Lytechinus pictus: one gene and its partner. The protein of the gene in region 1 purifies or fractionates together with the protein of each later gene. This does not show direct contact. Links are inferred from orthologs where the notes say so. Each region holds a gene or a part of one and is shown on either strand. Other genes may lie near its edges.

Evidence for each region.
Region 2: the proteins of BMP-2-inducible protein kinase-like (region 1) and ralBP1-associated Eps domain-containing protein 2-like purify together in Homo sapiens (affinity purification with mass spectrometry; 3 studies listed by BioGRID and IntAct, counting the BioPlex papers as one, with this or other methods). This does not show direct contact. The link is inferred for Lytechinus pictus from reciprocal best matches to the Homo sapiens genes BMP2K and REPS1.

The regions. Positions count from the first base shown.
Region 1 is NC_087262.1:11,854,173-11,861,747, forward strand, and holds the start of BMP-2-inducible protein kinase-like, read left to right. Parts: upstream 1-4,351; 5' UTR 4,352-4,962; coding exon 4,963-5,019; intron 5,020-6,535; coding exon 6,536-6,641; intron 6,642-7,575. UniProt on the Homo sapiens protein: May be involved in osteoblast differentiation.
Region 2 is NC_087248.1:18,756,564-18,763,871, forward strand, and holds the start of ralBP1-associated Eps domain-containing protein 2-like, read right to left. Parts: upstream 3,007-7,308; 5' UTR 2,789-3,006; coding exon 2,636-2,788; intron 816-2,635; coding exon 686-815; intron 1-685. Other genes in the region: uncharacterized protein LOC129258351, read left to right, coding at 6,848-6,973. UniProt on the Homo sapiens protein: May coordinate the cellular actions of activated EGF receptors and Ral-GTPases.

The DNA of each region.
Region 1 (7,575 bases):
ATTGGCTTTTAACGTGTGAAAGAAGCTATTGAAAATCAGGGATGCGGATTACGAGCGTACGCCGTGTTATGTGCGCATTACGTGCGGGGAGAGAAGGGACGCGCTGTTAGCTAGAAAACAAAAACACGTGGTGAGTCCTTAACTTTTTAAGGGGGAAATGCATGTGAGTGTGTCACTTACATAATTCACAGCGTGAATTGATTTTAGGATTCTAGGATGGCTCATATAAAGAAGTTGAAAACATCAAAGATCACTTCTTTTTTCAAGCATAATGAGAAAGAAGAACGTGATGACGAACAGCCGTCTACATCAAAATCGGATGATGTCGGAGATAGGCCTGTTCAGAAGAAAGTGCCGTTGAGGGTGATGGAGCATTTTCATTCATAACCACATACCCATATCAAGACAACAAAGACTATACCTGCGTGTACACAGTTGACATTGGTTTTTTTTCTGAAGAGGTGTAACAGCAAAATTCACAGAGATAAATAAATACGTAGTGCGGTTCAATATGCAATACTATGTGTCAGTCCATTCTGTATTCGTATGCCACGGTGTGTAGATCTTGTCGATGTATGTCTGTCCATTCAAGGCGTAGTATGTGTGTGGTGCGCGCACCCGTGTGTGTGAGGGTGTGTGTGTGTGTAAGGGTGTGTGTGTGTGTGAGTATGTGTGTGTGTGCGTGCGCGCTTGTGTGTGTTATTTTACCTCATTAAGTATGCATCAGATTGCACGATTTCAAGTTCAAAATTGCAAAAGCTCCCTACCGTGGGAGGGGCGACACCCCCCTCCCACACCCTCCCCCCGCTCGGTCACTTCGCTCCCTCGCTCGGGCGCTTCGCGCCCTCACTAGCGTTGGCAGCCCAGTCATCCCCCCCAGGTGTACGAAATTGTCTACGCCACTGAATGTGCATGCTCGTACCATAACATTATAAATATACTAAAACACAAAATCTATTTATACATGTACAGCCATTCTTCAAGCACTTTTTAATACATGATGAATAAAACAAGAAGAAAAATGATACAGATCAGTAGCACCTGACTTTGACAATACGTAGAAGAATGGAACATTTGGCAAGAGAAGTTTAATTGTTCCAGGCAGAAGCCTGCAAGCTTCTTACTTGAAAAATCAAGGCGATTGAAAGGATTAATTGGCCCACAAAACAGATGATGACAAGCACCCTTAACGTAATCTGTATATTCAAAGATTAATGGTATACCATGTTTATTTGTGCACGAATTTTGAATGATTCATGAATGCAAATTTTATGAGGTCAATGTACTGTTTTATGTGTTCTCAGACAGGCTACAAAATGTGTCGAGAAATAATCTGCATGTGAATTTCTCAACAAATTAGATAAGGTACCTTTAAAATTCTGGCAGCAGTGGATAGTCTAAAATAAGGAGGTAAATTTTCTACAGTGATGATGAACTTTCATGATTGTACGTATGCATGGAGGCTACAAACTGTATTGACATACTGACAAATTAAAACTGTATACATTCTTGGTAATTTTTAGCGAACATATAGTGTCAATTAAGTTTGAGTACTTGATACTTAACAAATTAAAGCCCTTGCCTCTACAAATCCATGTTTGTTTCTTCTGTTTTTGTTTAATGCTTGTTTGGAAGGACCACTCTACACCTGAATTTTCTTATTTTTAGCAGAGGTACATGTAAATGTACAACTCATATCTGAGATTTTAATGAAAAAAAAGAATGTCCCCCCATCACATTCACTTGCCTCCGGCAAGCTGGTTTGTTGTGCCTTAAAGCCTTTCCAGGTGTTCTCTTTAAAGCAGTGGATATGTAGCTACAGAGCACTTTATTCTTTTTTAAAGTTGCACTTTTTTAATAGAAAACACCATGACCATATAATATATTGTCTAAAAATGCAATTTACAGTATCATCTCCATGAAATGACCAAACAAAGATGCACTCAATTTTTTTTTTTTTTTTTTTTTTTTTGGGGGGGGGGGATGAATCTAAAGCACCAATCCAGATATACATGTATGTTTTGAAATAAAACATTTTTTTTAATACATATTTTTTCAAATTTATCCAACAATTTTATAAAAATGCCAAGATATATTATAGGCAGGCACATGGTTGTTTCCAATAGATTTAGAACAAAGACATAATTCTCAAATATGTTTAGGAAAATCCTGAGCCTTAGGATAGATTCAAAATCATAGTGATACAAGTAGCCTATTGTTTATTAATTCAATTGTACTACGTGTGTGAGCTCTAAAATTGTCTGAACTCTGTTCTTTATCTGTAAATCTAAATCCAGAAAAAAATGGATTACTGAAGATGCATGTGTGTACTGAATCGCTTTCCACAGAACCTTTCTTCTGTATTGATGGCTTTCATGTAGGATTTGCATCCTAGATACTTTACTTGTGGCCAAGGGGGAGACATCTGTCTGCATAATTGTGCACTGGACAAGATCAATGTCAGAATATTCTAACCAAATTTGCTATTCACTGACCAAGGCATTGAATAGTAAAAATATTGCACCTTACTGCTCAGGGCAACAGATGCATACCACATTTACAGTAGCATGAAGAGTGGCACTTAAAAGATTTTCTTCAGTCTTTTTAAAAGGATTAACATTGGAAACGGCACATATTCAATAAGCTTTGAGGCTCTGTTTACTTTCAGAAGTTACTTTATTGGAGACATACATATTTGTACATGTAGTGCAATTGCATTCATTGTTCTATTACATGTATCATAATCATTATTAGTTTACCAAATTGTTTTGAAAGAAATTAGGAAATCAAGTTTTCTGAATAGTAATGTTCACAAACGGGATTTCAATATTTTTAGGGCATTACCACAATACCACGAGGCAAATTTCAATAATGAAAATTCAATTGTTGGGGAATAAAATAAGGCACAAGAAATCTCCAAGGACAGTCAGTGGGTATCCGCGGCCACAGCCATCGATAGCTTTCAATTTTTTTAGGCTTATATAATTCAAGCCCTGCAAACATTACTACATGATGTACATGTATGTACCCTGTATGATGTAGGCTTTCATGTCTACAATAGATGCAATATAAATTTAGGTCTTTGAATTAGGCTTACGTGGGCAATATTGCAAGCTGGTTGCATAATATACATGTAAATCCTCCAATATCTCCACACTATCTACAAATATATTGCAAGATCACATGGACAAACTGATCAATGTCTGAAGGTCATCTTTTTTATAATACAGTTAGTGAAGATATCTGGTTCAGGAAAACACCCTGTGTGTGTGGCATACGGTTATGAGTCACCACCCTGGCAATGTAATGTACAATGTATTGTTATTAGACTGGGACAGCTTACAATGTGGCGCAGTAAAGAACATGGAATGCACAGTAGACAGGCCAAACTTGAAGTGGGGGTGGGGTCATACATTCATGTACATGGTATATACTGTAGTGCCTGCATCCCACTTCTGTAGTAAACGTCCCCTGCAAACTGTGAAACAATATGTTTTTGTTACAGAGAGTCAGAGGCAAAACAAAAGGAATGTACAATGTATTGTTTGTATACCTGGGACATCAAAAACAGTATGCATTTACAATGTACAGTAGTTCAGTATTGATGCACACATTATCCAGGCCAGTATGAATGCTTTACTCACGTGACACAATGCCTGCTTCCAAGCTCAGAGAAAACACAAAATTAATTCATATGACGGAGATGAAACAAAAGGATAGCGCAGGAAAAGCATTTTAGCTTTCTTCTATTTGCCCTTCATCAGAAACATCTAAAGACAGACTGCAGGGAAAATCAGAGCGATATAGCTCCTAACATAATAAAAAAAGCCCTGGAAACTAATAAAAAGAGCTCTCGAATCAATTAAAAAGAGCGCTGGAAAATCCCCATTCATTACAATGAGCTACATGTAAGTGAATATTGTAGATTTATACAGTAAGTTGTAAACAGAAGCCGCCGAAAATAACAGATGCATTGTGAATCATACTGTCTTCCTGGAAGTCTGCACACGAATATGAAGTTCCCTAGACACTGTTTTTCTCTGAGTAATAGATTATAGTTCCCAATACCTACATTTTCTAAGACTGCATTTTGAGGTTTTGTGAGGCACATCCAAACAAATTATTATTCAAGTACCCCCCCCCCCCCTGCTACCATCATTACCAGGTCCCTCGGACAGGACAAAAGCCTTTGGTTCTCTGATTGCTGCATGTAGCTACATGTATGCAAGCATTCATGTTTTCTTTTTATAGCCATCAGGTAAAAATTATATTAGTACCACCATTTGTACGGATCATGTTTGGTTTTGTGTGTACAGAGCACTGGCCCCGTCTTACAAAGAGTTACGATTGATCCGATCAATCCCAAGTATATGGAAATTCATCAATGTCATAATTTTTCTTTAGGAAATTTACTCAATGTCTTTTGAAAACAACTAGCATACTGAATTGTCAAGAAAACAGTGAATGTATGAATGTACATCATTTCTAGAAAATATTTTGAACAAACATGCAATTTTAGATGTTGACGTTGCTGGCTGTCCATAGTTGTGTTTGATCGGATCGATCGCAACTCTTTGTAAGACGGGGCCCAGGTCAGCCAACCAGTAAGATTTTAATAGATTTAAAAGATTTTTTTTTTCTTTCAAATTAGCAAAATTAAAGCAAAAGTCAGATTATTTGAAGTATGAGTCATATACTTTTGATAGTGTGTACATGTAATTGCCCCAAATAAGATTTGTTTTTTTGTTTCAATAGGATTTTTAATTTCTAAAAAATTCATATCTCCATTTACAAAAATGAGTACAAAGTTTCCCTTTCTTTTAATAGCGATGTCGTTTTCAGTTTTCTTGTTACTCATTAAGTATTAAAGGGTTTTATCCCTTTTTCATTGATTCTGCAGGTGGGTTTGCCCTGGTCTTCCTGGTCAAAGGTCGCAATGGAGTACACTACGCCCTCAAGAGGATGTTTGTCAACAACGAGCAGGATTTGGTCGTCTGCAAGAGAGAGATCAAGATCATGGTAAGAAAGGAGAAGTTGGCCTCTCTTCTTCCATTTTTTTCTGCCAATAATACATAAAGTATGGTTGATTCCTCATCTTCAAGATGTGAAAACAATATCATACATGTACATGTATGTAATTCAATGAAAACGCCTTTACTGTCGGGTCTTTAAAAAAAAATTATTTCTCTCTTCCTTTGCTCTCTCTCTCTCGAGTAAAATCCATTACCATAAAAGTGCATATTCTTGGGGCCATGTTGCACTAATTCGATTATGATAGAACAATCAATTTTACCACAAAACACAGTTTTGCCCCCTAGTATTCTGCGCAGTTGAAAGGCACATGTATATGCAATCAGACAGTACATTGAGCCCAAAAAAATGAAGGTGGTATAAATTTTGATTTTTATTTGAATAAATTTTTGATGAAATCTTTTCAGAATGAAATGAAATATAAATCTTGCAATACTACACACACATTTCGTATGAGAGATCCTCTGTTCCACACTCTTCAAACATGGCTTTTTAAAAAGTCTCCCCCACAGAGATTACCTGTACACTGTGTGTAGCGTGGTATAATTTTTTTTTTTCCTTCAAAATTTTCTTGTAAACTTATGAAAACTTTAACAATATTTTGTTATGTACAGTTGAGGACAAAAGTTTACATGTACCCATGGAATTCAGTGAAATTCGTCATGATAGCACAAATATTTTATACATGTAAGATACAATAAATTTTATGATGTTTGGCAAGTGTCAACTTTTCTTCGAATTTCCTGGGTGTATGAAACTCTTGGCCTCAATTGTACTGCTTTTTTTCTGTTTGAAAGATTTCCAAGTCTTGATCATTACATGAAGAAATTATTATTATACCCACATGTTTATTTCAGGGAGAAGCTATCGTAACAAAACTGCTTTTACTCTGAATGTTTTATTATACTGTATGCTGAGCAAAAACTCTTGGATCAATAGAAAAAAAATCCACAAACCTGCCATCATGAAAGAAGTAACGGGGGGGGGGGGGGGGTTTGAATAGAATCACACTTGATTTTCGTCAGATACATGTATATCTTTGCTCGATAAAGTCATACATTGTACATCAAAACTCGGTCTTTATAAATTTCTCCTCAATTTCTTGTAGTGTGAATGGGTTGCCTATTAATGTTTCGCAAATCTGTTAGTATGTGCTTCCAGGCAAACAGGACAGCTTGAGCCTGGGTATCTTGGGAAATGTCTTTTCATGAAACCTGAACTGTTTTTCTTCCCTCCCCACCCTTCTCTCTGTCTCTGTCTCTCTCTATCTTTCCCTGTCTCTCTACATCTTTCTCTGTCTCTATATATCTTTCTCTGTCTCTCTATATCTTTCTTTGTCTCTCTATATGTTTCCCTGTCTCTCTATATCTTTCCCTGTCTCTCTATATCTTTCTGTCACTCTCACGCTTTTTCTCTGGATATGTATGTTTATATATCTCCTGGTGTCTTTCTCTTTCCATCTCTATTTTTCTCTCCGGCTCTCTCTCTCTATTTCTTGATCTAGTCTACACTGTCGGGTCACAAGAACATTGTGCCCTATGTCGATTCCAGCATCACACGCAGCAACAGTGGAGTCTATGAAGTCCTCATTTTGATGGAGTATTGTAGAGGTAAGCCAATTTTTTTTTGCTATTACCTTACCTGCTGTGGGAGATTAAAGGGGGAAGTCCACTCTGACAGGTTGGTTTTAATCATAAAAAAAGAGTGGTTTATTGTTTTAACAAATTCAATTGTACATAGTCAAGAGTGACTCTTTTCTATGCGAGTATGGCCCTCCTTTTTTACATTTGTTTTTGCGGGTTGACAAATTGCATCCTTTTGGAAGGTTGTGTATTCCATGTTTTATTTTGCATGTATATTTCATATCGTTTAGTATTTTTTCATATTCATTTTTATCATTACTTTTCCTTATAATGAGGCCCAGTTGCGGACCGTGACCCGGAGGAGACAATGATTGGAGGGGCACTGTATTGTTTGTGAACAATGCTGTGCCCCTCCAATGCTTTGTCTCCTCCGGGTCACGGTCTGCCACTGATGAGGCCTATTACTTTTTATCATTACTTTCGTATAATTTTTTAGGGGGGCGTGTAGCAACTTGTCAGAAATTTCTGAAGTTAATCGACTATATTCACGCCCCTGCCATTTATGAAAAGCTAGATCCATCCATGTGGTGCACTATTTCAACAATTTAAATAAATATTTTAATTGACCTAATTTGTATTGAAATTACTTTGGAAAAACTGAAACTTTGACCTATAATTTACAAGGGTAACAAAACTGTACCTTGGCAATTCCATAAAATATGTACGTCCGACTCCCTATATGTGGGACTTTAAAGAATTTTTCTGTCTCTGATTTCTTGTTCTTTTGACAGTTTGTAATGCTCTCAAATGACCATGACTTGGTCGGTTTATGAAGTGAAATAAAACTTGAGAAAATGGGGGTTGGACGTACAAAAGGTTGACTATTTTGTGGAATTGCCCACCTAGAAAAATTATATTTTTTCAGAATTAGGTCAGTTTGCAGATACTGATCATACATGAC
Region 2 (7,308 bases), on another chromosome or scaffold:
CTCCTTTTTTTAATTATTTCTAGGTAGCCCGAGGTGAGGGTTTAAACCCTAACCACCCCCCACCCCCCGCCCAAGATCCATCAATGGTTTGACAATGGAGAGCCAGATATTACACAAATCTTTTTAACATACATGTAATTGCAAGCTCAATCTCTCAGCTTACTTTAGACTCAAATCATTTATACATCAATATCTGGGAATAACAACAAAAATTGTTTTGTTCATCAACAAAGCAGGAAGAAACAACTGAGTAAACAAGGAAACCTGATTTAAATAAAATTTTAATATTTTTCAGCTTTCCATGACTTAAGCACAGAGTTAGACCATGGCCTTTTAAAGTTAAACTGGACTTGAGAATACAGACCCTACATGTACACTTCTGAATTCAATAATTCCCATTTTAGTACCTGTAGGGACCATCCGGTTCCAAAAGGCAACAACAACAGTGACACAACACTTGCTCCTGCAACAATTGCTCTGGGCTTTATTTCGTCTAAGATGTAGGGTTATGGTTATATTTAGGGTTGCAATAGGGTTTTATGTTAGAATAGGGTTAGGTTTAGAATAGGGTATAGTGTTCAATCCAAGGTTGAAGTTGGTCATTCCATCTGTGTGTCAAATTCAAAGCGGAGCAATCATCGCCAGAGCAAATGTCTTGGAACCACAATAACAGTGAATAACTCACCTTGCATGACAAAATCCACAGAATTAGGGAGAGGAAGACCATTCTGCACCATTGCAATCATCTTGAGTGCGCAATAAAACTGACTCCTGCCGTAGTAACCTAACCTTCCTGCTCCACACAGCTCATTAATCTGTATTGAAATACATACAATTTAAGACAATAAATCCATGATTTACATGGTTTAAACAATCACATAATACATTGGGTGTACTCCGATAGCCATGGTTTATTAACCCTCATTCATTAAAGAAAATAATTATGTTAATCCTCCAGCAAAAAAGGTGTTGAAATTAGTATTGTTGTATTAAGAGAAAACATTTTTTTTTTTAAATCAATGACTTTATATGTTACACATATCATCTTTACCAGACATATGGAATCTCCCATGAGAGTGAAGACTAAAATTACATGTATTGTGCAGACTAGGGTTAAACCTAGGATTAATTATCAGAATAGGCCTACTATATACTATCCAATTGGTTCCTAGATTTTCCCCATTTTGCTTGCATGATGACTTGAAAATTTTGAAGATATTATGTGCTTGCCCGCCTTGCCGTTGGCTTCAGAGGTAGTGTTTTATTTGTAATTTGTATACAGTTATTGTTTGCAAAACTTCATGCAAGAATGGAGACAATCAGTCAGGTGCTAAACAAGAAAGTCACCAGCTAATGATGATATCCAATCTCTCGTACATGATGGAGGGACCAAAAGCTACATTCTTTGTTTACAAAACATAAAACTATGGCAATATTAGTATTTGAACAGATTTTTAAACTCTAATTTGTGGTAAATATTTTAAAGATTCTAAATATGAAAATCCAGTTGTGTTTTCCTAAACACCTGATTTTACTGTTGGCATTGGAAGGGGTGCAGGAAATTGCATTTCCTGCGCTTCAAACACGGCCATATTGTTGAAAGAAAATAAAAAAATTCAAGAGAGCTCTGCAAAACTGGAAATAGTTGCATGATTTTATGCATTTTTGTGATTTATTTATTGGTGCCACTGTACTGTAGTAAGTCTGAATGGGAATTCTTTGTCACAATGCAGTCACAGTTCCATAAATTGCAAGTGCACATTTATCCATTAAAATTGATGTGCAAATGAGTGGTGCATCCATGTAGCTTTATCCTTGATAATTTATATTCCTACAGATAACAAGCATGAGAATGGAAAAATTCAATATCTTGAAATGCAAAAGTCCCATTGCGTTTAACCAAGACTTTGAGGTATCTTATTTAGCATTAAACAGGGACAAGCAAAACTTTCATCTGGGTTTAATTTCTCTTTTCTTGAAATCAAAAATTTCCACAAATTAGCTTTTGAAATTTGTTTTGTTTTGAAATAAATAAACCTTTTTATTCTTTGTTTCTCCTCAGTTATACAGACTAACAATAGAGCTTTAACTGCAACTGGTGGCAGCCAAATTAGTTTGCTAAAAAAAGGGGTTAAAAAATTGGCATTTTGCCATTTAAGATTCGACTAGCTACAAAAGTCCAAATTAATTTAAACTGCTTCATGAAGAATATGTTGAAGTAATTAAACATTGAGAATATAACTGAAAAAAGAACCACTAGAAATGATTTCATACATACATTACAGTCACATCACATCCACTCACACTAATTGCGAGGTTAGTATTAGTATACTAATACTTACTAACACATTAGTATACTCATCACATCACATGATTCATACTACTAGTGTGATGATTCAAAATGATCTCCACATTTTCTGGCTTCGTTCAGACGTCAGTCACGTCGTCATGTTCATCATCACTTTCAAGTTTCAGTTTTCAAGACATGACATTGATCATGTTCAATCGGTTTGATTTAGTAACATGGTTATCAATTTTGAAAATAATATGCATCGAAATATATTAATTTAACATTAACAAACAGTCAAAACTAGACAAACTTAAAGGTAAATGACTAATCCGAGTTCCGACATACCCTCTGAATTACGTCGTCCGAGAGCTGCGGGCTCAACCTGAATAAACTCATCGCTCGCTGGGCCGCCACTCGCCCGGAGCTTTCCTTGTCGGATTTGCTGAAGAGCTCGGGGTAATATTGCTGCTCTGCGGGACTCAAGAAAGAACCCTCCATGGCTGATATTAAGATTCGAAATCAGGGCCTAAAGAATTTGGAAACAAGAGAGAGGCTGAAAATCTGTAAAACCTTATGTAAATATCACGAAAACCTAGAAATTGATGGGTAATCACACCCTCCTTTTCGTTCCTTTCGCATCACTGATGGCAGCCATATTGTCGGTGACGTCAGAACAAGTCCCGGATGAGTCACAAAGATGTTAATTCAGTCTGGCTATCTTCCTTTCGAACTTTGAATCTCAGTTGATATGAAGTTTTGGTCTTTTTAAGTAAATAACAACAAAATCTTACAAATGGGGAGGATACTCAAAAATGTGTTTATCAAAGCGAACAAATTATAATTACTAGTCGATCAGAAGGGTGTATAAGGACAACTGGGTCCATTGTAATTTGAAAATCATGAAAATATCGCTTGGTGTACTAGCTAGGCGGGGTGTGGGCCTATCTGTCAAAGCATAATAAACATTTTCAATCATAAGTGATGACAATGTTGCTGCTTTAACTTCAAACAGAATAGGACTATATATCTACATGATACAGGGTATAAGTATAATCATTTACCTTTATTAATATCAATAGATGCCCCCCCCCCCCCGAGTAGTTTTTAAAGTGGTAATAAAATTATTCAAGCTAATTGATTTGACTAATGCCTTTCCAATCTAGGATTCGCATGCAGTGGATCAAAATGAGTTAAAACAGGGAGAATGAAAGAGATATTATGACGATGCCTTGTTTTATGGAAAAAATGATTATCCATGATCATGATGATGGCTGTGGTCACAAATACAACTTGCAAAAAAATAATGGTAATAAAATCATGGTGGTAACGATAATATCTTTACACCATTATTTTATGGTGATGAAGATGATTGTGATGACGATGATGATCATGATCATCATCATGATAATGATTTTTTTTGTCCTTATCTGAGAGGTATTTATTACATTGAAATGAATAAACAAACACAAACAATATATACAATTAGTTTCACTTTTCACAAGCTTTTGATTTCATTGTACTGTTTTTCTGTTATTTTTATCTTGTTACTCTTTTCAAGAAATCTCAAATTAATGACTAATTCTCTCTTAAAATCTGACAACATAGAAAAATAACTGAATTTTTTTAAAGTGAACTGAGCCAACACATAGACTCTATAAATCGTGTATTGTGCGAAAACCAAAATTACGTTCAGAAAAGCCATGTTTTCATTTTCAACATCGTGGCCAATCAATAATGTTTTCTATGAATATTCACATTAGACTGGATCTTAATGAAATACCGTAGTTTCTGCCAAAATAAATTCACATGTGGACAATGCAACAAAATATGATCTAGAGTTTCAATTTGTTTACAATGGTTATACAAGTCATGTCTGATGTGATATTCCATCGAACTAAATTCTCTTTACGATACGGCAAAATCCGATGCAGCAATTTGAAATTATATTGTTTAACTCTGTTATCAAGTAATTTTCCAAACTTAAATTTCAGCAATTTGCTCCAATCATAATCTTCTGCAAGTGAAAGCCTATCTTGCCAAAAATATAACACCATTGGGTGTAAATTCTTTTTTTAATCTACAAAATATGTGTAGAATTGTTTTTGATATTGTAATGTCAATTGAGTTACCGGTTTTAATTTGAATAAATTTATCGTTTTGTATTCGTTGATCACCGTGATTTTCAAGCTGAGCAGTGTTCAACTAATTGAACCAATATGTTGGAAAATTGGTTTTAATTTTAGCATATTGAAATAAGATACAAAGAGAATTCATCGACAGTAGGTCTGTAATACTTTCGGAGTTTTTCCATGATCCATTTTCAATTAAATGGCGTACTTTTACTAAACCCTTATCGGACCATTTTCTGAAATACAATAACCTGTTTTCATGTTTTTAATTATTCCATATGATTTCATTTTCAAGTGAAGTTCAGCCAATAAAGTAAGTAAGTCTGTATAAAATGTAGCCGGGTAATGAATATTTTATTTGCATAATTTAATCATGTCTATACTGGAGAGCAGAATGGATAATGGTATACCGCCTAATTTATGTAACCAAAACTCACAAATATATTTCCATGGTGGTTCATCCCCTCTTACAATTTTTGGTAACCAGGAAAGTGTGAGTGATTTCAATCTAGAATTTATGTCAATCATACCTAATGATGGTTATGATGATGGTATTGATGATAATGATGATGATGATGATGATAATGGTGATGATGATGATGATGATGGTGATGACGATGATGAAGATGGTGATGATGCTGATGATGATGATGCAGTTGATGATGATGCAGATGATGATGATGATGATGGTGATGATGATAATGATGAAAATGATGACGACAATGGTGATGACTGGTGATGATGGTGATATTAGAAACAAAATCAGTGAATTAATGGAATGGATCGGCTTTATATTATAACATTGATGTACCCCACATTGTCACAAAATTATATTTCTTTTTTTTTTGTAAAAGATCTAATTTTTGCCGCTCTCTTACTCCATATGATATATTTTTTGATTCACTGATTACACCAGTGCGGGCAGATCCTATCCGTACACCGTTTGAAGAATGACGTCGCCCTCTCATGGTAAGAAATTTGCTATCATCATGATTACTAAAATAATCTGTCATCGTGAACTCTGAGCTCCAGCTACGGGGGTGGTGGTAATAACATGTCAGGTGCTTCATTTTGCGATCAAGTGGTAATAACGACCCCTCGCTGTCATGTGACCAATGTATACACGTGACAAACAATAAAAGTGGGCGTGTCATAGTGGGATGCGACGAGCAATTTGCTTTGACATTGTTTTGAGAAAATCAACAAACAAATGTTATTTTCATGAAAAAGTCTATGTACACAGATGAAAGTTCCCGAACCATAGTTTTGTTGCACTCTCGGTGCTTTCTCCTCCCCCTCGATCATTTTTTCTTGTTTCTCCATCTCCTGCTCCTGATCTACTCCCCCTCCTCCTCCTCCTCCTTCTTCTTATAATTATTATTCTTCGTCATCTTCTTCATTATCTTCTTCTTCTCTTCCTCCTCCTTCTTCTTCTTAATTATTCTTCTTCTTAATTCTTCTTCTTCTTCTCCTCCTCCTCCCCCCTCTTTCAGTCATTCTTCCATTTTTTCTTTTCACCTCTAACCAGTGGCGTACCTAGGATTTTTCACAGGGGGGGCAAAACCGTCCGCCAAAGAATTTGACAAGCAAAAAAAAAAAAAAAAAAAAAAAAAAAAAAAAAAAAAAAAAAAAGGTATTTCAAGCTCGTCAGGGGGGGGGGGGGGGGGCAGGGATACGTCCTTTGCATGGGTTGTGGCTCGTCAGGGGGGGCAGACTGCCCCCTCTGCCCCCCCCCCCCCCCCCGTAGGTACGCTAGTGCCTCTAACCTTTATTTCCTTTCATTTTGTAAATATATATACTGTAACTTTGTCTCCGACACTGTATCAATATTCTTTCGCTCTAAATATTTCCCCAACCTCTCCCTATTTCACATATACTTTATCAAACAATTTCTATGAAGCAAAAATCTTTATAGTTTCTGAATCAACAACGGATGTAAACAAAGCATTATCGTTCATTCGTTCAGTCAAATTCCACCATCAATAGAAAAAATACAGCGATTATTAGAACTTTGGAATATTTACTTTGTTCTGTGCGGCATTATTTAACAGTAAGTGTTCAGCACGCATATCAGAGGCCCCTACTAGAGAATCTCTTGAAAATTTATAGAGCTATGCACGTCACGTGCAGTCTGTTTTACATGTAGGAACTGACAATACAATCAACAGATCAATGTATGTTTTGTTGCGTGATATACCGGTTTAATCTCTCATTAATCCAAATTAGCCTTGATTTCGACTTCTAATCTGGATAGCTTCGTCAACACCACGCGGGACAGATTTGCCAAGAAAATTGACATTGTGTGTTTTGGCATAATACTCGGCGGAATATAGTGGCACTACGATCTGTACTCTACCTTTTAGCAGGTTATAAGTTTAAAACTTCTTCTGGAACGAACTCCCTGACGGAAATAATTTGATGAAATAAAATGGATACCATGTCGCGGAGACTGTGCCATGTTTTAGCGATTGCCTTGACGGTGCTAGTAACTGATTCAGACGGTCATCTCTGCATTATAACTCCTCGACAAAGAGGAGATCTCGATATATCGACTGTAAGTTATACACTATAAAAACAAATCAGCCATCATTCGTCAGATCAAACGGGCCGCAACTGTTTTCTCTACACGGGCCGCGGAAACGGGGGGGGGGGGAGGGGCTGGGTAGGCTTCAGCCCCCATTTTTTTCCAAAACCATGTACAAAAACGTAAAAATGAACATTGTGTGATTTTGTGCATGGTCGGCCCCCACATTTGGCTCAGCCCCCCCCCCCACCACCACTTTTGAAACCGTTCCACGGCCTCTGCTTTTGTCATAATTTTACTGTATTCTAGTCAGAAATGACGGTGTTTATAGTAAGATTTGACTAGAAAATAGTGAAATATTAGGA